2 linked regions of the Mytilus edulis genome follow. Each later gene encodes a partner of the first gene's protein in a complex. Links are inferred from orthologs where the notes say so. Each region holds a gene or a part of one and is shown in the gene's direction. Other genes may lie near its edges. The genes, in order: E3 SUMO-protein ligase RanBP2-like and nucleoporin NUP188-like.

Region 1 (12,573 bases):
TCTTACCTATAAATTCTTAATAATTATTTACACTTTGACTGATAAATGCTATTAAACGATTATATATGACTCAAATATTGTTCGCTGTTTTTGTATTAAACTAATAGTTTTCTAGTAATTATTTGATTATGTTATGCTTACAGTGCTACAGTCAGTGCACATTTCAAAAGTGAATGTCAAGTTAAAGCATAAAGCATAAAGCATAAAAGATTTATTTAAAGTCGGTTATACATATAACAATACAACATAAGCTCTTTAGAGCTTTTATCCGACATTCATATAAGACAAGCACAATACATAAAACACATAAAACATAGAGCACATCATGCAATAAATGAGGGAGGGTAGGAGGGGTCCTGATCCCGAAATCCCGAGCTTAAAAACACGAAATCCCGAAATCCCGGGCTTAAAAAACACGAAATCCCGAGGTCCCGAATTTCGATAAAAGAATTCCCGGATCCCGAAACTCGGAAAGGGTCAATCCCGAAATCCCGAGCTTAAAAACACCCGATCCCGGAGTCCCGGTAAAGGTCCTATCCCCCCTCATAAATAATGTCATCAAGCACAGAAATTAATAAGCACAATTAAAGCATATAAGCAAACATAAAATGCAGACAAACTAACATTCATGCAATAGCTATTATAAATCACTAAAAGTAATTCGAGCATTAAGAACACAAAAAAAAAAAAAAAAGAAATTATGCCAAATAATTTAAAAGCCAGTACTGTATACAAGATAAATAAATAAACTGATCTACAGCTCATTGAGATCTGCAGGAGGAACACTGACACGAACTGCCCTCCCAATTATACCAACCAAACTTTTAAACTGACCCAATGGCATTTCTTTCCTCATTTTATTTGGCAGTTAAATTTCAATAAGTTTTGCTGGTGCCGGTAAATAACCATTTCTATAGAAAAAGGCTATTTTGCCGTCTTGAATAAATATATTTTAATCAGAGTCGCCAAAATTGCCGTCAAAATAACCACAGTGCCAAAACAGAAAAATAATCATTGTCGAGTTTAAAAACCGCGGGAATTTGGGGTTGCACTAATGACAGGATGATTGCCCGGATAGTGACAGGACGGTTGACCGGACGACATATAAATAGTCATAACTTTTTTGTTATCCGATAGATTTGTTTAATATTTGCAAACCTGAAAGATATTAAACTATATTTTATGAATATAAAAAAAAAAGAGGAAAAATAATTATTTTTGAGCAAAAAAAGTTGACCGGACGGTATTCACACTCGCCAATATACGCTAAATATATATTCAACTGGTTGACGACAAGTGTTAATATCTCTTTTGTTTTACAATATTTGTCCATGAAACTCAGGAATCTGTGAGATTTATAAATATATTATACGAAAATATAAACTTGATTGCAAAAGAACGTGTTTTTCTAAAAAAAAAGTTGACCGGACGGTATTCACCCTCGCCGATATACGCTATATATATATTGAAATGGTCGACGACAAGTGTTAATATCTCTTTTGTTTTACAATAGTTGTCGATGAAACTCAAGAATCTGTGAGATTTATAAATATATTATACGAAAATATAAACTTGATTGCAAAAAAACGTGTTTTTCTCAAAAAAAAGTTGACCGGACGGTATTCACCCTCGCCGATATACGCTATATATATATTCAACTGGTTGACGACAAGTGTTAATATCTCTTTTGTTTTACAATATTTGTCGATGAAACTCAGGAATCTGTGAGATTTATAAATATGTTATACGAAAATATAAACTTGATTGCAAAAAAACGTGTTTTTCTCAAAAAAAAGTTGACCGGACGGTATTCACCCTCGCCGATATACGCTATATATATATTGAAATGGTCGACGACAAGTGTTAATATCTCTTTTGTTTTACAATATTTGTCCATGAAAATCAGGAACCTGTGAGATTGAATAGTATATTACACGAAAATATAAACTTTAAAGTAAAAAAGAAAAAAAATCTGCAAAAAAAGTTGACCGGACGGTATTCACCCTCGCCGATGTACGCGTTGACAAAAAATGTAAATATTTTTTTTGTAAACAATATTTTTTCATAAAACTGAGATATGTGCGAGATAAATAAATATATGATATGAAAATATAAACTCTATGATAAAAAAAATATTTTTCTTAAAAAAAAAGTTGACCGGACAGCTAACATTCGCCGATATATGTTAATAATAATAAATTGGTTATTTTTTTTACCATATCTGTCCCTGAAATTTATGAACATTGGAAATGAATAAATATATTATACGAAAAATTAATACAAATTAGACAGTTGAACGGTGTTCATCACAGAGCCAGTCCCCTAAAACATTGGAACAACTCTGGTGAACCCACTTGCTGCAAGTGACACGTCCTCGTTTGCCTTCACATCCAAACATATTTTCCAATATATCAGGCTTACCACAAACACAGCTACATTCAATTTTTCTTGTGTGCATCTTGACTGAGTCAGCACAAGAATTTAGTGATTGAGGGAATTTAGAAAAGTATCCCAGTTCAAGGCATTTAATCAAATGCTCTCTCATACCAGTTGGTTCAAAAGCTGTTTTGTTTTTGAAGTTGGAAGTACCTCCATTAAAGCAAAATTCAAGCAAATTTGCTATGGAGTAAACCCCACAATCATAACCATTTGGCTGACGTTGCACTTCTGGGAGTTTAATTGAAATGTGCCTCTGACCATAAATGCCTTGTGTTGTTCAATAAACGACACTTGACCATTATCAACAGTCAACTTGGCCAGGGATTTTTGGGACAAGTTTTTATCTGAAGTTTTAATGGACATGGAGGAGCTTTCTGTCCCCTCTGAACTATCAGATACTAATGGTAATATATTTGTCCCCTCTATTTGGGAAGGCGCTGTGACATTTTCTTCAGCAATGGGACTAGACATGGTGGGGTTTTCTGTCCCATCTGAAGTCTCAGATACTAATGGCAATATATTTGCACCCTCTATTTTGGAAGACTCTGTCTCTACTGAGACATGATCCTTAGAGCATGTGTCTCGAACATTATCTATTTCTGACATAACATGCTTTACAATGTCAGCAGGTTTAACCAACTGCTTTGGAACATTGATTTCATCTTTTGGTATAGAAGCATGGTTAAATTTGGTTCTTAATGTATAGTTACCAATGCCAGCCAGACCCCTTTGCACCTCATTGATATAGTAATTCTGCAAGTAAAACATGCTAAGCACGAAGCAGTCAACTGGCAACTCTCTATATTTATTAAGCCTTTTTATAACTGCATTCATGCTTTCACATGCATTATTGGTAATGCCAGAATATGGATCATAAAGGTTTTGGTATTTATCAATTACCCATTTGCCACTGTGAGTAAGAATGTCCTTTTCCATCTTTTCAAAGTATACTACTACCGGTTTTGACCACTTTCTGATTAATTCATCTTTTAATGTCATATACTCTGCTTCAGAGTCAGACCTTAGGAGGTCTTTCAAATGTGAAACATACAGGGCTGTGTTTGACTGATCAGCGCCCATTTGCTGAAGATTAAATTTTAAATTTTTTATTAAATGATTCCAGCACATAAGAACATCACAAGATGGGAAGTTCTTTCTGATTGCATTTACAAGACCAATCTCCCTATCAGTTACGAAAGGGACTGAGGTTTTGTTTATTTTTGGAAATGACGATGCAACGAATTCAAAGAAACGTGCATGTGTCTTCTCCTTCTTTCTACTATGTATCAAGAAAGCTACAGGCATTATAGGTCTATCTTCAAAAATTATATTTCTGAAAACTAGGGGTGAAACAAAGAAGTCTCCACACTTAAAAGTGGTATCATAGAAGAAAACAAAAGGAACATCATCTTCAGTGTTAACATCAAGTAACTGGTTAACGATAGAAATCATTTCTGGCAAAGCAATGATTGAACTCAAATCAGGGAAAACTGTCACCTCATGGATGAATCCATCCATATGATATGCCAATAGCAAAAGGTTATATATATCATCTTTGCTCAGTCTTTCTTCCTCATTGACTTTCCTTACTAGGTTTTCAACTTGTTTCACATTTCTAGCATTTAGCACCCCTTGGTGTTCACCAGAAACTGAACCATTTGATATGCTTTCTCTGTAAACATCCATGGCAGTTTTTTCACCTGACCTTATGTCTTGCTCTATTTTTCTTAATACAGAAGGAGCAGTGCGTGTATACTCAGGGGGATCTGACTTTTTGCTGTTCCCATGGCCAACGGGTACATATACCGTCTCATCTCCCTCATAATGCACAAGTATTAAGCTTTTGTTACTTTTCAAACTATATGCAGTTTTCTTAAACTGTAAAGAACCAACTGGTCTTTTTCTACCGTTTGTTTTGTCTGTTGTTCCTGGTAATCGGATTTTGTAAAAATGTTTTTTAAGAACATCATTACCAATGGTGACTGATTTTGTACCATTATTTATCCACAGATATTGGTCACATTTCCAATCATCTGCACCAGTTTGAAACAAGTAAACTTCGTTTGCCTTTGGCTTATAAGGGGGAACATTCGATGTACAAGATGTTTCAGGTTTAGTTAAAATATCTACTATTTCTGTTTGATGTAATACATCTGTATGCATATAGACAATAGACCCACTGTCCATTTTGATATTTTGTCTACTGGTAAGTTGTACTAATATGATGGCTATACAACTGTCTTTAAAAAGACATGCCTTTAAATAAAGCAATATATAGTAGCACTAATATCAATCTGTTTACTTTTGTATTTATAAATATATGTTTGACAACTGTCTTTAAAAAGACATGCTTTTGAATAAAGCAATATATATAGTAACACAACTATCAATCTATCTATATCAATAGTTCAATAATGAATATATATTGAAAATTGTCTTTAAAAAGACATGCAAAAAGCAAAATATAGTAGAAATATAATTTGTGTGATCTGAACTGGTTGAAAGTCAGAGCATAAATGACTGAACAATTGAATAGTTATTATTAGGTGAGTTAAATGTTAATCTGAAATCCTGAACTTCATAAAATTTCTTCTTTAATTGGATACTAATTACCAACTGATTATAAGGTAATTCAATTAAATGTATTTGATGTCTCAGGTGTGAAAACTTTAATGACATGTTATTTGGCTTGATTGGTGATTACAACAAGTGTCAAAATTAGATTAATTTGATTAAATATCATTACTTCTAATATGCATTGGTGAACTCGCTCACATAAACATTTTGGGCTCATTGTTTTTACTTTAAAGTTTATTTTTCTTGTAAAATATTTATCTAATCTCACAAATTATTTCATTTCATGGACAGATATATTATAAAAATGAAGAGATATTAAAACTTGTGTTGATCAGTTCAATATATTTAAATAATAATATCGTCGAATGTTAATTCCCTCAGATCAACTTTTTTTTTTAAGAACAACATTTAACATATTTGATATAAGGTTTATATTTTCATATTAAGTACTTATTGATCTCTCAGATTTCATAAATTTGATAAAATAAAAGAGATATAAACACTTGGGTCTACCAACTTATATTAAGGCATATAACGGCGAATGTTTGTTCCGTCCGGTCATCTTTTTTTGAAGAAAAACATTTTTATTTACTATAAAGTTTATATTTTAATATCAAGTATTTATTGATCTGGTAGATTTCTTAGTTTCGTGTAAAAATATTGTAAAACAAATAAGATATTGACACTTATTTGTATCAGTTCAATATAATTAACGCGTACATCGGCGAATGTGAACACCGTCCGGTCAACTTTTTTTGGAGACAAACTTTTTTTTTCACTATAAAGTTTATATTGTCGTATCCAATATTTATTATTCTCACAGATTCCTGAATTTCATGATAAAATATTGTAAAACAAAAGAGATATCAACACTTGTCGTCGACCAGTTGAAAATATATATAGCGTATATCGGCTAGGGTGAATACCGTCCGGTCAACTTTTTTTGCAGATTTGTTTTCTTTTTTACCCTAAAGTTTATATTTTCGTGTAATATATTATTCAATCTCACAGATTCTTGAGTTTCATCGACAACTATTGTAAAACAAAAGAGATATTAACACTTGTCGTCGACCATTTCAATATATATATAGCGTATATCGGCGAGGGTGAATACCGTCCGGTCAACTTTTTTTTGAGAAAAACACGTTTTTTTGCAATCAAGTTTATATTTTCGTATAACATATTTATAAATCTCACAGATTCCTGAGTTTCATCGACAAATATTGTAAAACAAAAGAGATATTAACACTTGTCGTCAACCAGTTGAATATATATTTAGCGTATATTGGCGAGTGTGAATACCGTCCGGTCAACTTTTTTTGCTCAAAAATAATTATTTTTCCTCTTTTTTTTTATATTCATAAAATATAGTTTAATATCTTTCAGGTTTACAAATATTAAACAAATCTATCGGATAACAAAAAAGTTATGACTATATATATGTCGTCCGGTCAACCGTCCTGTCACTATCCGGGCAATCGTCCTGTCATTAGTGGTTCCCGGGAATTTGATCGAGTGTATTTGGGTTTATGGGACTTGATGAAGAAAATATCCGATACTATACGAAGTAAGCGGCAAACTTAAAAATATTACACCGAATTTGATTGGTCCGATTGAGGTGGTAGTTGTAAAATGTAATCTTATTGGTTCATATTTTAAAGTTTTTTGTAATCCGCCGGCATGAACGAAAGTGAATGAATGAAAAATGTCAAGACGCAATAGAAAAGACGTCGATAGATATGTATCTCATATCCCTGAAAAAGAGGTAATACTTCAGAATGTTCAATCACAAAAATAATTTCTCTGGACGAAGTTTAAAGTAATATTTGAAAGTGAAAGTGGCTTCTGTCATGACATGAGTTCTGAGAAAAAAGGGGGAGAGATAGGACAATGTGTTCTGTACAATAGTCAATAATGATACCAAGCAAGAAGTTAATAAATACAGATTGAAATAATGAATTGTGTTAATGTTCTGTTGAAGTCAATTCTCCAATATTTATAATGGCAAGAAATGGTTGGCGTTGATATTGCCAATAAATCAGGTTGGAACCAGAAGACCAAACGGGGTAACTTAAAATATTCTGAATGCTATGTAAATAATAGTCCAAATAATTATGAAAGGCTTTTATGCTTCTTTTCTTTGACACCGTACATCAACGTCTTAACGCCGAACTCATATTTTCAGTTGGACTTTAAGAGGGGTAACACTAATGATAGCATCGTCAGGAGACCAAAGGAGGTACACAAAAGAGTTCTTCAAGAACGATAACTATATAACAAATTTGGCCTTGAACCGTTTACGATACCACGTGTTTTACTTTCCACAGGGAATATTTTGACCGATCACTAAACTGAGGTAGGCAAGCGATACTTTCTCAAAATTACACTTTTGTAACAATCTTTAAGCATAATATGAACGATTTAAATATGTTTTGTAACAAACAAAAGTGTCAAAGTGTTGTTATTAAGGTTTACTTTTTGTTAAAATGAATCAACGGTGACGTTGTTGAATTATATAGGCAAATTAATTTGTTTATCGTCTCTCCCTTCAAAAACCTTTTAAAGACATGTACTAAATGATGATCTAAGACATTTCATATCAATTAATTTTAAGTAAAATGTGTAATTATCTCTAAATGAATCTTTTTCAAAAAGATGTCGATAGTTGTCTCCCTTGACATTATAGTCCATTATTTTTTTTTTTGGTTATGTGTAAATGGCTGAAATATATTTGATATAATAACAACTCACCTTATTAATGTAATCAGTTAATATATTAGTATGAAAGCATAATTGAAGATATTTGAATAGACTAGTGTGTGTAACTAGCTTTGTTTAAAAAGGGGGGTGGATATATTAGGTGACTCCATCGGTTGTAATGTGTAGTATGGGGTCAAATACTGATTCAACCACACATGTATTCAGTGAACTTCAATACACATCATGTCAATATAAATCTGTTTTTTTAAATAACGACAGTGTTTATTTAATCAAAAGTAACAGCTGTCGATTGATCCTCGTTAAAAGAGGGGGGTGTACATGTTTGTGTAAAAAATAAATTGTTACAATAACAATAATAATAGTACATGATGTAAATATTAATGAATGAATAGATTTATTGTGATTTATTGTGAGCGAAATCTACACAAGAATGGACCAGAACTGCAATTGTTATCTCCCTTGAATAAGCTTGTTGTTTCAATCATACTAATAATTATTTAACCTAATATTTAATTATGATAAATTACACAACAATTAATAAAAAGTAGTATTTACAATTAGGTTCAAGAAAATATTTATCAACATTTGGTTATTTTTTGTCTTTTTTGAAATATATAAATTTTTGACTCACCAATTTTTGGAACATTTGATGTTTTTATATAGAGTTAAGATTTTTAAACACTACACTACTGCGAAAACTAAAGGCTCTATAGTAACCTACAGTTGTTTATCAAGAGAAAAAAAAGTAACCTACAGTTGTGAATGAATATAGCTGTGACATTGTGGGGTCTGGTGTATATATCACCGTGGCAATAATACCACATCTTGTATTTTATATATTCCGGTTGAAGTCAAGCATGGCTAATCTGTCACTATTGTTGATATTTATAGTATTATCGTATTTGCAACACTCTCATGTGTAGTCAATGTTGTAAAAAAAAAATACAATATTATTTTTACTTATTCATTAATCCATAAATTCCACACAGCTCTCATTCGTTTATAAGTATATAATTGGAGATCTGGCTTATATTAAATAACAAAACCGTTTCAACTAAACAGTATTAAGGAACAGACCTCTATAATGAAAGAAAAAATGTATGTGATTGCATTTTTTAATTCATGGTTTCAATATTTATTGAGCAATTTATCATAGCACCTTCAACAATGGGGAAAATCCATACTCCATAGTAATTGAAATGCCTTTAATTGATACTTATAAAATGATTTATAAGAATGAAGAAAAGAATAAACCTGATTTATGTACAAAATAATAAATAAAAAGCAGAAGTGATATACAACAAGAAACGGCGCTTCCTTATTTACATTCTTTTTTATAATACAAGGTGCATTATAACATAATAGATCAAAGAAGATGTGGTATAAGTGCAAATGAGACAAATCTCTGTCAAAGTCACAATTTATAAAAGTAAACCATTATAGGTCAAGGTAAGTTCTTCATCACAGTCTTGGCTCACACCGAACAATTAGTTATAAACATGATAAAGGGTATTGAAATAGATATATTCTACCAGTATTTAAAAAAAGAGAAACGCCAACACATCAACAAGCGACAACTTCAGAACATAAGAGTCATGACTTCGGACATGTGTATCATGAAAAAAGTCAGTTGGGTTTCAATCATGTGATAAAATGTAGATACATATTTTTCAAATATAAAAAAAACGCAATTAAGATTGTAAAAATCATATTTTAATATTTGTTCAATATATATTTAAAACAATCAATATATATAATGTTATCAATAAAATGTTACTTTAACTTTGCAGAACTAATTTGAAGAAACAGACTATAAAAGCAAAGTGTCAATCATTCAATGATTTGAACAAAAACAAATTAGAGTTACCTCTCTTGGCTAAAACACTTTGAATGGAAAGTCCCTTTGATATCAAATTTTTGGAAAGGGGAATTTAATAGTTTCAAGAGACAACCAATCAAATTGCTTGGTGTTTTGAGACAGGTGAAGGTCATACATTATTGAATATTTAGAAAAAATACATGGAAAGTAAACTTTAATTTTTTTCCTGACATAGCTACTAATGACCTATATCGCCGTGATTATCTGACTGTTTTTACTGTATTATAATTGATATAACATTTAATTTATATTAACAGATTTGTATACAATGTACCATTCATTTTCTTTCAGAAAACTTCCCGAGGATACCAGATATCTGTGTTATACAATGAAGCTGGTGACTATGAAACTGCTAAAAGGTATTGACTTCACATCATGACCATGAGGACATGTATAATGTACATGTATATCTACTTTTTATGCCCCACCTACAATAGTAGAGGGGCATTATGTTTTCTGGTCTGTGCGTCCGTCCTTCCGTCCCTTCGTTCAGGTTAAAGTTTTTGGTCAAGGTAGCTTTTGATGAAGTTGAAGTCCAATCAACTTCAAACTTAGTACACATGTTCCCTATGATATGATCTTTCTAATTTAATTGCCAAATTAGACTTTTGACTCCAATTTCACGGTCCACTGAACATAGAAAATAATAGTGCAAGTTTCAGGTTAAAGTTTTTGGTCAAGGTAGTTTTTGATGAAGTTGAAGTCCAATCAACTTCAAACTTAGTACACATGTACATGTTCCCTATGATATGATCTTTCTAATTTAATTGCAAAATTAGAGTTTTGACCCCAATTTCACGGTCTACTGAACATAGAAAATGATAATGCGAGTGGGGCATCCGTGTACTATGGACACATTCTTGTTTTTTAATGTTTTACAGCCGATTCCATCGAGTATGTAGGCAAAGGTAGTATATTTGGTTAGCTTGCTTGCTAGCTGAACAGTGAAATCATTATTAGGAAAGGTAAACTCCCCTCTTTTCAGAGTAATCTAGTCAGACAGATAACAAATCTATCTGTTTGTAGGACAATGCTATTTTGACAGGAGGGTAGTATACCTTACATAATAATGACTTCACAGTTCAGCTAGCAATCAAGCTAACAAAAGATATTACCTTTGCCTTCACACTCAATGAAATTAGCTGTAATGAAACATGTTTTGATTCTGTGCATAGGTAATCCTATAGATAAAATTAACAATTACCCTGTGTCACAGAACTTATTTATGTCAATATTTAATTTAGGAAAATATTGAGATCTCAGGAGTGAGGAGGCTTAGATATGTTGAATAATTCATTGTGGATAAGAGAAGCTAATCTGAAATGAGGAACTCTAATGAAAAATGACAAATGAGCAATATTTGTGGAACGTTTATAAGTTATCAAGTCAACATTTAATTATGTAAACATGGTAAATCGCACTTGAAGCAAGTCATTTTTCAAATGTTCTTTTCCTTTGAAATCTGAAAAATACTTTGTAAACTCAGTCAAATTAATTCCTGAGTTCATCACTTTATTTGTCATGATGGCTGGAGTCGTAAGCAATTTGTTAGTTTGTGAAAAGAAATTTGAATCCTTTCTTTCTCATTTTCATAAAGATGAATAATAGATGTATCTGAAAAGCTTTATTGTAAATTTTGAATACATTGTATTATTTTATTTTTGACATGGTTATCTGTACAATATAAAGATTGTCTTTTAATTGCATTGATTTTGGACTTTTAGATACCTAGCATCTTACATCAGTACCAGAGAGAATGTACCCCAGGCTCATAAGTTAATGGGACAGATTTTAGAATCCAGCAAAAACAAAGAAGATGCCATTGAAAGTTACAAGAGGTATGTTTATAGACATATATATGTTATCAAAATACAAATTTGTTTATAATCTAGTGACATTGTATACATATGTTTTACATACAGAAGCAAATTTATAAACCAGTAAAAAATCCAGCTGATAAAATGTTAAATAATTTAGTTTACATGCAAGATATAAAAACTGGTGATAGATAAAGTTTGGATCAGGTTAATATTTGTCAAGTGGAATGAACGGAATTTTTATCAACATGTTTTTTTTTTACCAAAGAATAAGAGGACCATTGCAAACTAAAACAGATTCACTGTAACATTAAGCTCAGAGTTCGCGAAAATGGTCAGTCCTGTCGGTCTTATCAGTCAAAATGAGGCTCGGACCAGTATATTGAAAGCTAGTGTCGGTCCCCATGACCGATGTAAAAACGGCCGTTGCAGTGCCTTTTTTATCGGTAATTAGTTGTACCGCAACTAATTCCAATATGTGCCGTTTACATCGGTCTTCAGATGTACCTGCTGCTAATTTCCGGTACTGGTTTCCTGTTATAAACAAACTGAAACCTATGGAAACCAAAGTGCCGATCTACACATGGCCTGCTAAATTTGTTCATGGCAAACAATCGGCGATTGAAATCTTAGATGGAGATAACAAATACCGAGAAAATGATTCAGTTGATGAAATAGATAGAGAAATGACTTTAATTAAGAACAATCAGAAGATCAGAACTGGTCCTTCATTATTAATTTGTCCGTGGCTGTGAAAAATAAAACTAATAATAATAAAGTTACTTTTGGATAAAATATGTTATTATTTTTATTTTAGGATCAAATTGACACGATTTTTTTAGGACTGGCTAAAATTTTGTAGGACTGACAAATAATCTTGCTTTGTCGGTCCCATGACCGACAGGTCAAACAAAGTTTTTGCGAACTCTGTAAGCTGTAGAAATTTGTCAACATTCACATTATCAAAGTTTATATTTTCTTTTTCAGGTCATTCCAACTCGATAGTAAGCAAAAAGATTTACTTTTGAAAAGTAAGTACAAAGTGTTATTAAATAAGTAATGAAATTTCATGGTTTGTGATGATAAGGCCAAATAAAAATATATGTGTGGTTCCAGTAACCCTACCATCCCTACTTTTTC
Region 2 (13,156 bases), on another chromosome or scaffold:
ATCCAATAGAGACAAAAGAACAATGATGTAAACAAATACAGGTCATTGTACGGTCGTCAATTAAGAAAAGAATCAAAAACCGTAGGCCTATATATATATAGTAAGCTAAAACTAAAAAAAAAAACGCATGGTCAAACAACTCAAAAAAGAAACCAACGACTGTTTTAGAATGCAATAATATCAAAAAACAATTATAGCTAGCTTATAAAGATACAGACTTGATAGTAGGCTCTAGTTATATTTCACACAGTGCCAGATTGAAACGTCTTGTCTCCTACCCGCATGAAACAACTAAGACTACGGCTATCATTTTTGATCAGACACACGATAAACAAATTTCATTTTTATAGTTATATAATAGATACATAAATATCTATAAACGAATTTTAATTTAACAGATACAAATGCATTTTGAAAAATAAAATTAATATAAAAGCATATAAGCCAAAATTCATGATCTATATATAGGCAAGATTACAACCGTCCGTCTGCTGAAGTTTCTTATGATAAATGTCATTTATTAAAATTTCACAGAACGACATTGAATTGGATATTCCCGACAAAAACGAGAGGACAATTTGGGAAAAGGAGGAGAAGAAGAAGGAAAAAAGAACAAACAAATTATTTAAAGCTGATAAGAAAAGAAGACAGAAGGAAGATAACCAATTTAAAAAGAAACAGACAAAAGGTATAACAAAAGTATATATCTGTCAGTCTTCAACAATGTGCAAAACTTAATATACGTATACCCTAAGTAAACTATAAACGGCCTTGTTTTTTTAGACAATTCAAAAATACCTGATTTATGCTACAAAATAAGATAAAACGATCTATATGTACAATAGACAGTAAGGTACGATCATAGGCTCATAGTTTGTGATAGACACAAAGCGGTGGTAAACATGTACGTGTGCGCGAAACCCCCATACATTCAAAATCTACTCTTGTACTCTAATTACATGTTCAAGGGTCTATATTGTGAAACTTTAGTGAATAGAAACTTACTCCTAAATAGAAAATTGAATAACTTAATCTTTCGTAAATAGCATGAAGTATAAACACACCTGTGTATACAGATCACAGGGATGATATAAATTTCACAATAAAAATAATAGATGTAACAAATACAGTTGTTTTGGCCTAACATATGGTGGCCGGATGCGGCCATTTCCCCTTTTTGTGTTTTCGCGTGTTCTCCTCTCACTTTTCCAACGCGAAATCGGGAAAACGAGAAATCGAGAAATTGAAAAATCGGGAAATCGGGAAATCGGGAAATCGGGAAATCGGGAAATCGAGAAATCGAGAAATCAAGAAATCGAGAAATTGGGAAATCTGGAATTCAAGAAAGCGAAAACGCGGAATCGAGAAATTCCTTTCGCGTTTTCGCGTCTTTGCTTTCGTGTTTTCTCGTTTTAGCTTTCTCGATTTCTGGATTTCCCGATTTCTCGCTTTCCCGATTTCTCGGTTTCCCTATTTCTCGATTTCCCTTTTTCTCTATTTCCCGATTTCCCGATTTCTCAATTTCTCGATTTCGCGATTTTGCTTTCTCGATTTCTCGATTTCCCGATTTCGCGTTTGAAAAGTAAGAGGAGAAATGGCGAAAATACGAAAAGGCGAAATGGCCGCATCCGGCTACCATACTTACATGTTTTTGTAGTACATTGTATTTCTTTTCAGATGGACTTAAAAAGGCAAAGAAATCAACCATCAGAGATTTTATCAATTCGCTGTTCGCTTGTTTCCGGAAACAGAAGAAAGGAGAAGAAATATTATAGACTTCTTATTAATTTTGTGATCGTTTAAATTATGTATTATATTTTCTAATTAAATCATTATTTTATTATATATCTTTTTGTTTTTAATAAAAATATTAAACTATACGCAAAACCAAACAACATAAACAGCAGCAGTTGTCCTTTTCTAGATTTAGACATTTCAATTTCAAACGGGAAACTTCACACTAAAATTTACGACAAAAGAGACGATTTTTCATTTCCTATTGTTAATTTTCCTTTTTTAGACGGCGATGTGCCTTTGGCTCCATCATACGGTGTTTATATATCGCAACTCGTTCGGTTTGCCCGTGTGTGTTCTGATGTCATAGATTTTAACGAACGTAATCAATGCATCACTGGTAAATTGTTGTGTCAGGGATTTCGATACCATAAATTACTTAAAACTTTTACTAAATTCTTTCATAGATACAAAGATTTGATTAGTAAATTTGGCTATACCTGTAGAAAGCTTATTAAAAATGGTATTTCACATCCTAAATTTTATGGTAATATTGTACTTAAATTGAGGAAATCACTATGTGATCCTTGTAAACTCATCGAACCTTTAAACAAACTTATAAGTAAGGGTTATCGTACCAATATTGTAATAAGATCTCTGAATATAGTTCACATTGGCACTAATATTGATATTGTCATTAGCAAATTAAAACATAACTAAATTTCATTATCTTTTGAGGCGAGATGTATAGAGACACAGACACGTTAACTTTTATTTCTATAGAAGTCGCTCTTCACTATACTACTACCTGTCGATACATTTATTTTTGGCATTGCACAAGTCATGTCTTCTTTGACTATTAATGACGTTAAAATACTAAATCCCTGTGATGTGTTTTAGTCGATTTTAGTCTCTGATGCATGATTTTTTATTATTAATTGGTTTTGGCTTTTAACTAGCTGTCAGTAACTGCGAGTACTCTCAAATCGTATTTTCTTGTTAATTCGACCTGTTGATACTGTTTATAATGCTTTTTTGTTATTTTTTATTTATATGGATCTTGTCTGTACACCAGCTTTGATTATTTGTATTATCTTCAATTTTTCACTTATTCTTACAACATTTGTATAAACTTCAAGATTATAAAAAAAAACGTTTTTTTTCTAAAGTTAACATTGATTGGTTAAATATTTCTCAGTCATGTCCTGCGTTTGAATTTGTTTGTTAGCTTTTTGGTCATGAATGTTTGTCTCTAATATTTAATTAACTGTGCATTTGTATTCAGATATCGCAGATCAAATTTATTCGTTCATTGTTTAATCATACGTTTTTTGATTGAGTTAAGTCTGCCAATTGATATTTTATCGTATGTTTTTCTTTGTTGTGATGTTATGCTATTGTTTCAGAAAAAGGGAGAAGGTTTGGATCCATTAAAACGTTTAATCCCGCTGCAAATGTTTGCACCTGTCCTAAGTCAGGAATCTGATGTACAGTAGTTGTCGTTTGTTTATGTAATATATACGTGTTTCTCGTTTCTCGTCTTGTTTATATAGATTAGACCGTTGGTTTTCCCGTTTGAATGGTTTTACACTAGTAATTTTGGGGCCCTTTATAGCTTGTTGTTCGGTGTGAGCCAAAGCTCCGTGTTGAAGGCCGTACTTTAACCTATAGTGGTTTACTTTTTAAATTGTTATTTGTATGGAGAGTTGTCTCATTGGCACTCACACCACATCTTCCTATATCTATTTTAAGGACATTAACAAAACCCAGTAGTACATGTATATGACCTGGTAGATGTACTATACAAATGTAGAGAACCGTTTTTGTTATTAACATGTATCGTAACTTATCAACTCTTCAGTCCAAGTTGATAACATTTGAGGAGGAGATGATTTGATCAAAGTCTTTCCAATCTTGACGAAAACTCGCGTAACATTCGTGCATATCCATCAATAATGGACGAGGGGTCAATACGTTATATATATGCAATATGGACCTGTTTCATATTTCTAGGTCTGCCAGTCGATTTATGTCGTACTTTATAATCAGCAATTTTTCAATGTGTTACTCCACTATTACTGAGTGGATGGGTATCATAAACAGTGGACAGGAACTTGAATTGGTATAGATCTGAGACATCAGCGTTCTTTTCTTATGCTTGTTCCAGCTTAGGAAGCTCGTAATCAGTATTGGAAAATGGGAACAATTTATAAAAAAGAATTGTAAAAAGGAAAAAAAATGTCAAAAGCTGTATTTTTTCAAAATATATGTTATTCAGAAATATGTCCACCAAAAAAAATTAAACTTATTATAACTATCAATGTGGTATGTCATTTTGCGTTTCGTCTAAATTTATAGATTTGATAAACTAATTGTTATGTTCAAACTGTATTAAACTAAGTAATTTTCACGTTTAGTGATGCCAGTTATTCATCTTATAAAAAAATGGGAATCTGATAAGATTGTTAATTCCACAGCTACATGTATCTATCACATGTACAATTATCTTTGTGCCATTTTCACATCTACACTAACTTTTTATAGTGAATCAGAGTCATTGTGACATATAGGAATAATTCTCTGTTGTCATATTCTGACTTTTATACAAAGAAAGTGATAAAGATAAACCGTGCTTTTGTTTCCAAAGGTTTTGGAGAAACTGCGATGACAAACAATAAAAATTAGAAGATGTAGTATAATTGTGTTATTATTGACAAAGTTGCAACAAGGTAGGGATAGCAAAAATAAAAACATCATAAATTGTAAAAGCATAATTTTTTGCAGCATTTTATTCGCATGTGTGTGGATTGTCAAACAGCGAAAATATATTTTGTAATTAAAAGTATATGATTTTGAAGTGGCCATTGCATATAAACCACTTTTATATACATGTACCCTTAAGGATAAATGTCAAAGTCAGTTTAATCTTCCATGGATCACAACAGATTTTCGTGAGGTGCTGCACGCATATGGCAAATATCAAAAGATTTTGTCACAGGGTAATCAGATCGTGTTCCAACATGCACGAAAGTATTAAAAAAAAACCTATTCACTTTGAGATCAAAGGTCAAAATATTATTGTAGGTATCTATGGCATTGACCTATGACCTACTTGCCAATTTAATGAGATTTTCTTACATTTTCTAACTAAGTACTATAATTATAGTAAAAATGTGTACAAAAGAAGCAAATTGTAAATGAATACTGTGTGTGTGTGCCTACATTGTAATGATTGCTATTGCAAACAAATGTGCAAAGTGGAGACGAGACTTCCCCTCTTTTCTTTTTTCTTTCTCTTTTATAAAAGACATGATGAATTATTATACAATAAAGATGCAAAAGTAAAAGGTATAATGTTATACACTCTATGTAATACCAGTTTGGTTCGCCAAATAATTTTCGCAATTATTTCAATTTTCTTGAGTTTTGCATATTTTTTTTACCTTATTTAAAAAAAAAACCAAAACAGATATAAAAATGTTAGTTTCATTAATTTTTTTATACCAACCTAGTACCAGACTTCCATATAGGTAGTTTAATCATAAGTGTTGCCTGGTGCAACACAATTGTGTTAGTCTCGGTAAACAACAAATAATAAATAAAGATATATCATAACAAGAATGTGTCCATATAATACGAATGCCTCATTTGCAAGGCCATTTTATGTGCTCTGTCGAACGTGAATTTGGGGTCTGAACTCCTATTTAGTATTATCATACTAAGAGAACATGTGTACTAAGTTTCAAGTTTACTGGACTTCAACTTCATCAAGATCTACCTCAGCCAAAAACTTCAAACTGAAGCGGGATAGACGAACGGACGAACGGGCGAACGGACGCACAACCTGAAAAACAGCATGCCCTTTTGACGGGTGCAAAACCATACCCAACTACCTCCTCGATGCAGATGGTCTTTCTTTTCGCACGACGATGTCCTTATCATGTTACATTCTTGAGCAGACTTGTCATTTTCAACTGTGTACCACTGTAGATGAGCAACAACTTATTGTGACAAAATCCAACACTGAATATAATCATTAAATCAATGAAAATGTATTCAAAGACTTGACAAAACAGAGACATTTATCTTCAGAAGGAAAACAAGACAGAAAATTTGAAGCCAAATGTATCAACTTCTATTGTATGAATGGGATAAACTTACCTTTCAATTCTCAAGGCTAAATAAGTATTTTATAGGCTAAATACAAACTTACCTGTCAATGTAGAATTGTAATCTGAGTGATACCGGTGTTACTCAAGTCACCATAAATGCAAACAAAACAGGCTGCTGAACAACGGTATGGGAAAAACTGGAAAGAAAGTTGGTGTGAATTATTTGCACACCCTATAGTCAGACACAAAGATGAAACACAGTTCAAGTTTGTAGTGAAATGATATTTCATGTGTAAGATTTAAATATGTACCAACACACAACAGTAAGACACTGGTTTTGACGGTAACACTTTAAAAGCATTATTTTTAGGTTGTTAAATTTAAGTTTTTGTCTGAAAACTTATAGAATATGAATGCATATTATAACTTCAAGTTAATTAGAATATCAATATCAATATGCATGCTTTGCTTAACTATCACAGGCACTCGTCTCAGAATTTTTTCCCCCTATAAACCTTTATGATATATTGATGTGTTTCCCTCAGTTTTAGTTTGTCTGAACCCGGATTTGTTTTTCTCAATCGCCGTTCACAGGCACATGTCTCGGAAATTTCTTTCCTATATACCTAAATATAACACTTATATTAAGGTAGTAAATCCCCCTCAAATAGTGACAGTTGGCAGGTGCTATTATTCATTTTTAGGAGGATGGGCTTTAAAAAAAAAAACTACCTCGGAAATTTGAAGGTCCGTCAATTGATTTTCATTTATGTACCTTTATTGTGTTTCCGGTAAAACAAAATGTGAAATGTGATGGCGGGACAGCTGAAATCTGAAAGGTTGAAGATTTTCCCTTATTTCCATAATATATTACTATTTTGATCGGTCTCATTTAATTGCCTGAACCAATTCGTCATTTCAGTGTCACAGTTTTTGTCCTTTTTCTTCCAGTTTTATAATATCGTCATTTTCGACCCTGGTTTGAAGGCAGAAATTAAAATATAATATGTGTGGTTCCAGTAACCCTAGCTGCGGAACCGTACTTTGCGGACCATGGTCCGCAAATAGTCAAAAAATAACATAAGGTAGCACTCCACAGTTAGGTGTGTAGTTTCGCATTTTGGCCCCTGTGGATTTTTCAAATATTAGAGCTAGTGTGCAATAAAATTCATTTTTGGATAGCTGAGTATTAAAATAGCCTTTGTATTGGGTTTATATGAACATCAAGAGTATGTAATATAGGCTGTTCTCTGTATGACAGTCCGTATTTGCATGTCCCTACCATACATTGGTCCGGCAATTATTGTAATGTTTTTTTCCAACTTTTTATCGCACGAACTTTGTGATTGGATTTTACGAAAAAATGAGGAGAAAGACACCCATTTTTTATTTGATCATTAGGAAGATTTATGAAAACAGTTTCTAAAAAGGTATTACTCAAAGGCATTGAAATTCTAGTTTGATCCAAATTTTGGGGGGATATGTGACATGTCCTGGCAGGTATTGTGGTACGCACTGAAACCCGGACCGGACCGGACTCCGGACCCGGACTTTGGTATGAAACCCGGACCCGGACCCGGACTGGCCGCCGGACCCGGACTGAATGCCGGACCCGGACTGTGGTTTTTTTTACCACTTCGGTTTTTTTTTAAAGATTACTGTCATATAATATATAATCAAGCATAATCAAGCATGTATATAAGTTAGATTTAAAGGGGCAGTAGCTCCGAGATATAATGAAATAATAAATAAAAATGTTCAATATAGAGAAATAATTTTATTTTAGCAGCCATTGTCAAAATAAACTAAGATACATCGCTTATGAAATATTCACGTAATCTCCGTATCCGTAGTATTCCTTTGGTAAGAAATACAGAAATAATCTTGTGTTATATATAATGAGTGGCAAAAGTTTACAAGGCCGTATACGTTAACCGGGATATTTTTTACCCCAAGATGGTACTCTGAATAAAATCTTCTGCGGCTCCTGATTGGATGATCATACAAAGTTGGAATTGCTCCAATAAAATTTAAGCAGCGATCGATCATCTATGTAATACACAATCTTGAACAAGTGAGTCCGGACTGTGACCTGACATGACCCCGGACTAGCTTGAAGTTTACTATACCTGCGTGTATTGCATTACGACGACTAACTGTATGTAAACTGTTTATTGTCGTAAAGTATATTGATGGGACATTTGATCAATCATGTAATACATAAGAAAGTTATAAGATATGTATCCGACATTTAACGAAAACATTAAATGTAATAGGCGAGTCCGGATGGTGACCTGAAGTAACCCCGGACTAGGTGTATTCGCAAACTATAGACATCGATAGAGATATAAAACTTCACAAATTATTTGATGAGACGAACTTATTCATTTTTATTCATTCAACTTTTTCCCTTATTGGATTGTCGTCGGAAACATTAATAAAAGACGTTTCCCCGAGAATCAACAAATTAATATTAGGCGAGTCCGGACTGTGACCTGATATAACCCCGGACCAGGAGTATACGGATTGTATATAAATATACTAAATTATTTGTTTAATTGAAAGATTTTTTTCCCCTTTTTGCTTTTTACATTTCCTTTATTCATTTCTCTATTTCTTTAGTTATTCGATTGTCATCGGAAAAATCAATAAACGACACTTAAGCGGCGTTCAACAATGTAATACACAATCCTGAACAAGTGAGTCCGGACTGTGACCTGACATGACCCCGGACTAGCTTGAAGTTTACTATACCTGCGTGTATTGCATTACGACGACTAACTGTATGTAAACTGTTTATTGTCGTAAAGTATATTGATGGGACATTTGATCAATCATGTAATACATAAGAAAGTTATAAGATATGTATCCGACATTTAACGAAAACATTAAATGTAATAGGCGAGTCCGGATGGTGACCTGAAGTAACCCCGGACTAGGTGTATTCGCAAACTATAGACATCGATAGAGATATAAAACTTCACAAATTATTTGATGAGACGAACTTATTCATTTTTATTCATTCAACTTTTTCCCTTATTGGATTGTCGTCGGAAACATTAATAAAAGACGTTTCCCCGAGAATCAACAAATTAATATTAGGCGAGTCCGGACTGTGACCTGATATAACCCCGGACCAGGAGTATACGGATTGTATATAAATATACTAAATTATTTGTTTAATTGAAAGATTTTTTTCCCCTTTTTGCTTTTTACATTTCCTTTATTCATTTCTCTATTTCTTTAGTTATTCGATTGTCATCGGAAAAATCAATAAACGACACTTAAGCGGCGTTCAACAATGTAATACACAATCCTGAACAAGTGAGTCCGGACTGTGACCTGACATGACCCCGGACTAGCTTGAAGTTTACTATACCTGCGTGTATTGCATTACGACGACTAACTGTATGTAAACTGTTTATTGTCGTAAAGTATATTGATGGGACATTTGATCAATCATGTAATACATAAGAAAGTTATAAGATATGTATCCGACATTTAACGAAAACATTAAATCTAATAGGCGAGTCCGGATGGTGACCTGAAGTAACCCCGGACTAGGTGTATTCGCAAACTATAGACATCGATAGAGATATAAAACTTCACAAATTATTTGATGAGACGAACTTATTCATTTTTATTCATTCAACTTTTTCCCTTATTGGATTGTCGTCGGAAACATTAATAAAAGACGTTTCCCCGAGAATCAACAAATTAATATTAGGCGAGTCCGGACTGTGACCTGATATAACCCCGGACCAGGAGTATACGGATTGTATATAAATATACTAAATTATTTGTTTAATTGAAAGATTTTTTTCCCCTTTTTGCTTTTTACATTTCCTTTATTCATTTCTCTATTTCTTTAGTTATTCGATTGTCATCGGAAAAATCAATAAACGACACTAAGCGGCGTTCAACAATGTAATACACAATCCTGAACAAGTGAGTCCGGACTGTGACCTGACATGACCCCGGACTAGCTTGAAGTTTACTATACCTGCGTGTATTGCATTACGACGACTAACTGTATGTAAACTGTTTATTGTCGTAAAGTATATTGATGGGACATTTGATCAATCATGTAATACATAAGAAAGTTATAAGATATGTATCCGACATTTAACGAAAACATTAAATGTAATAGGCGAGTCCGGATGGTGACCTGAAGTAACCCCGGACTAGGTGTATTCGCAAACTATAGACATCGATAGAGATATAAAACTTCACAAATTATTTGATGAGACGAACTTATTCATTTTTATTCATTCAACTTTTTCCCTTATTGGATTGTCGTCGGAAACATTAATAAAAGACGTTTCCCCGAGAATCAACAAATTAATATTAGGCGAGTCCGGACTGTGACCTGATATAACCCCGGACCAGGAGTATACGGATTGTATATAAATATACTAAATTATTTGTTTAATTGAAAGATTTTTTTCCCCTTTTTGCTTTTTACATTTCCTTTATTCATTTCTCTATTTCTTTAGTTATTCGATTGTCATCGGAAAAATCAATAAACGACACTTAAGCGGCGTTCAACAATGTAATACACAATCCTGAACAAGTGAGTCCGGACTGTGACCTGACATGACCCCGGACTAGCTTGAAGTTTACTATACCTGCGTGTATTGCATTACGACGACTAACTGTATGTAAACTGTTTATTGTCGTAAAGTATATTGATGGGACATTTGATCAATCATGTAATACATAAGAAAGTTATAAGATATGTATCCGACATTTAACGAAAACATTAAATGTAATAGGCGAGTCCGGATGGTGACCTGAAGTAACCCCGGACTAGGTGTATTCGCAAACTATAGACATCGATAGAGATATAAAACTTCACAAATTATTTGATGAGACGAACTTATTCATTTTTATTCATTCAACTTTTTCCCTTATTGGATTGTCGTCGGAAACATTAATAAAAGACGTTTCCCCGAGAATCAACAAATTAATATTAGGCGAGTCCGGACTGTGACCTGATATAACCCCGGACCAGGAGTATACGGATTGTATATAAATATACTAAATTATTTGTTTAATTGAAAGATTTTTTTCCCCTTTTTGCTTTTTACATTTCCTTTATTCATTTCTCTATTTCTTTAGTTATTCGATTGTCATCGGAAAAATCAATAAACGACACTAAGCGGCGTTCAACAATGTAATACACAATCCTGAACAAGTGAGTCCGGACTGTGACCTGACATGACCCCGGACTAGCTTGAAGTTTACTATACCTGCGTGTATTGCATTACGACGACTAACTGTATGTAAACTGTTTATTGTCGTAAAGTATATTGATGGGACATTTGATCAATCATGTAATACATAAGAAAGTTATAAGATATGTATCCGACATTTAACGAAAACATTAAATGTAATAGGCGAGTCCGGATGGTGACCTGAAGTAACCCCGGACTAGGTGTATTCGCAAACTATAGACATCGATAGAGATATAAAACTTCACAAATTATTTGATGAGACGAACTTATTCATTTTTATTCATTCAACTTTTTCCCTTATTGGATTGTCGTCGGAAACATTAATAAAAGACGTTTCCCCGAGAATCAACAAATTAATATTAGGCGAGTCCGGACTGTGACCTGATATAACCCCGGACCAGGAGTATACGGATTGTATATAAATATACTAAATTATTTGTTTAATTGAAAGATTTTTTTCCCCTTTTTGCTTTTTACATTTCCTTTATTCATTTCTCTATTTCTTTAGTTATTCGATTGTCATCGGAAAAATCAATAAACGACACTAAGCGGCGTTCAACAATGTAATACACAATCCTGAACAAGTGAGTCCGGACTGTGACCTGACATGACCCCGGACTAGCTTGAAGTTTACTATACCTGCGTGTATTGCATTACGACGACTAACTGTATGTAAACTGTTTATTGTCGTAAAGTATATTGATGGGACATTTGATCAATCATGTAATACATAAGAAAGTTATAAGATATGTATCCGACATTTAACGAAAACATTAAATGTAATAGGCGAGTCCGGATGGTGACCTGAAGTAACCCCGGACTAGGTGTATTCGCAAACTATAGACATCGATAGAGATATAAAACTTCACAAATTATTTGATGAGACGAACTTATTCATTTTTATTCATTCAACTTTTTCCCTTATTGGATTGTCGTCGGAAACATTAATAAAAGACGTTTCCCCGAGAATCAACAAATTAATATTAGGCGAGTCCGGACTGTGACCTGATATAACCCCGGACCAGGAGTATACGGATTGTATATAAATATACTAAATTATTTGTTTAATTGAAAGATTTTTTTCCCCTTTTTGCTTTTTACATTTCCTTTATTCATTTCTCTATTTCTTTAGTTATTCGATTGTCATCGGAAAAATCAATAAACGACACTTAAGCGGCGTTCAACAATGTAATACACAATCCTGAACAAGTGAGTCCGGACTGTGACCTGACATGACCCCGGACTAGCTTGAAGTTTACTATACCTGCGTGTATTGCATTACGACGACTAACTGTATGTAAACTGTTTATTGTCGTAAAGTATATTGATGGGACATTTGATCAATCATGTAATACATAAGAAAGTTATAAGATATGTATCCGACATTTAACGAAAACATTAAATGTAATAGGCGAGTCCGGATGGTGACCTGAAGTAACCCCGGACTAGGTGTATTCGCAAACTATAGACATCGATAGAGATATAAAACTTCACAAATTATTTGATGAGACGAACTTATTCATTTTTATTCATTCAACTTTTTCCCTTATTGGATTGTCGTCGGAAACATTAATAAAAGACGTTTCCCCGAGAATCAACAAATTAATATTAGGCGAGTCCGGACTGTGACCTGATATAACCCCGGACCAGGAGTATACGGATTGTATATAAATATACTAAATTATTTGTTTAATTGAAAGATTTTTTTCCCCTTTTTGCTTTTTACATTTCCTTTATTCATTTCTCTATTTCTTTAGTTATTCGATTGTCATCGGAAAAATCAATAAACGACACTTAAGCGGCGTTCAACAATGTAATACACAATCCTGAACAAGTGAGTCCGGACTGTGACCTGACATGACCCCGGACTAGCTTGAAGTTTACTATACCTGCGTGTATTGCATTACGACGACTAACTGTATGTAAACTGTTTATTGTCGTAAAGTATATTGATGGGACATTTGATCAATCATGTAATACATAAGAAAGTTATAAGATATGTATCCGACATTTAACGAAAACATTAAATCTAATAGGCGAGTCCGGATGGTGACCTGAAGTAACCCCGGACTA

The links.
Region 2: E3 SUMO-protein ligase RanBP2-like (region 1) and nucleoporin NUP188-like share a complex: the UniProt entries of both Homo sapiens proteins name them as parts of the nuclear pore complex. The link is inferred for Mytilus edulis from reciprocal best matches to the Homo sapiens genes RANBP2 and NUP188.

What each region holds. Positions count from the first base shown.
Region 1 is NC_092348.1:12,668,546-12,681,118, reverse strand, and holds the start of E3 SUMO-protein ligase RanBP2-like, read left to right. Parts: upstream 1-6,656; 5' UTR 6,657-6,721; coding exon 6,722-6,781; intron 6,782-9,907; coding exon 9,908-9,975; intron 9,976-11,340; coding exon 11,341-11,454; intron 11,455-12,420; coding exon 12,421-12,464; intron 12,465-12,573. UniProt on the Homo sapiens protein: E3 SUMO-protein ligase which facilitates SUMO1 and SUMO2 conjugation by UBE2I. Involved in transport factor (Ran-GTP, karyopherin)-mediated protein import via the F-G repeat-containing domain which acts as a docking site for substrates.
Region 2 is NC_092345.1:50,788,589-50,801,744, forward strand, and holds the start of nucleoporin NUP188-like, read left to right. Parts: upstream 1-6,620; 5' UTR 6,621-6,659; coding exon 6,660-6,685; intron 6,686-13,156. Other genes in the region: uncharacterized protein, read left to right, coding at 535-688, 1,678-1,775. UniProt on the Homo sapiens protein: Component of the nuclear pore complex (NPC), a complex required for the trafficking across the nuclear envelope. Required for proper protein transport into the nucleus.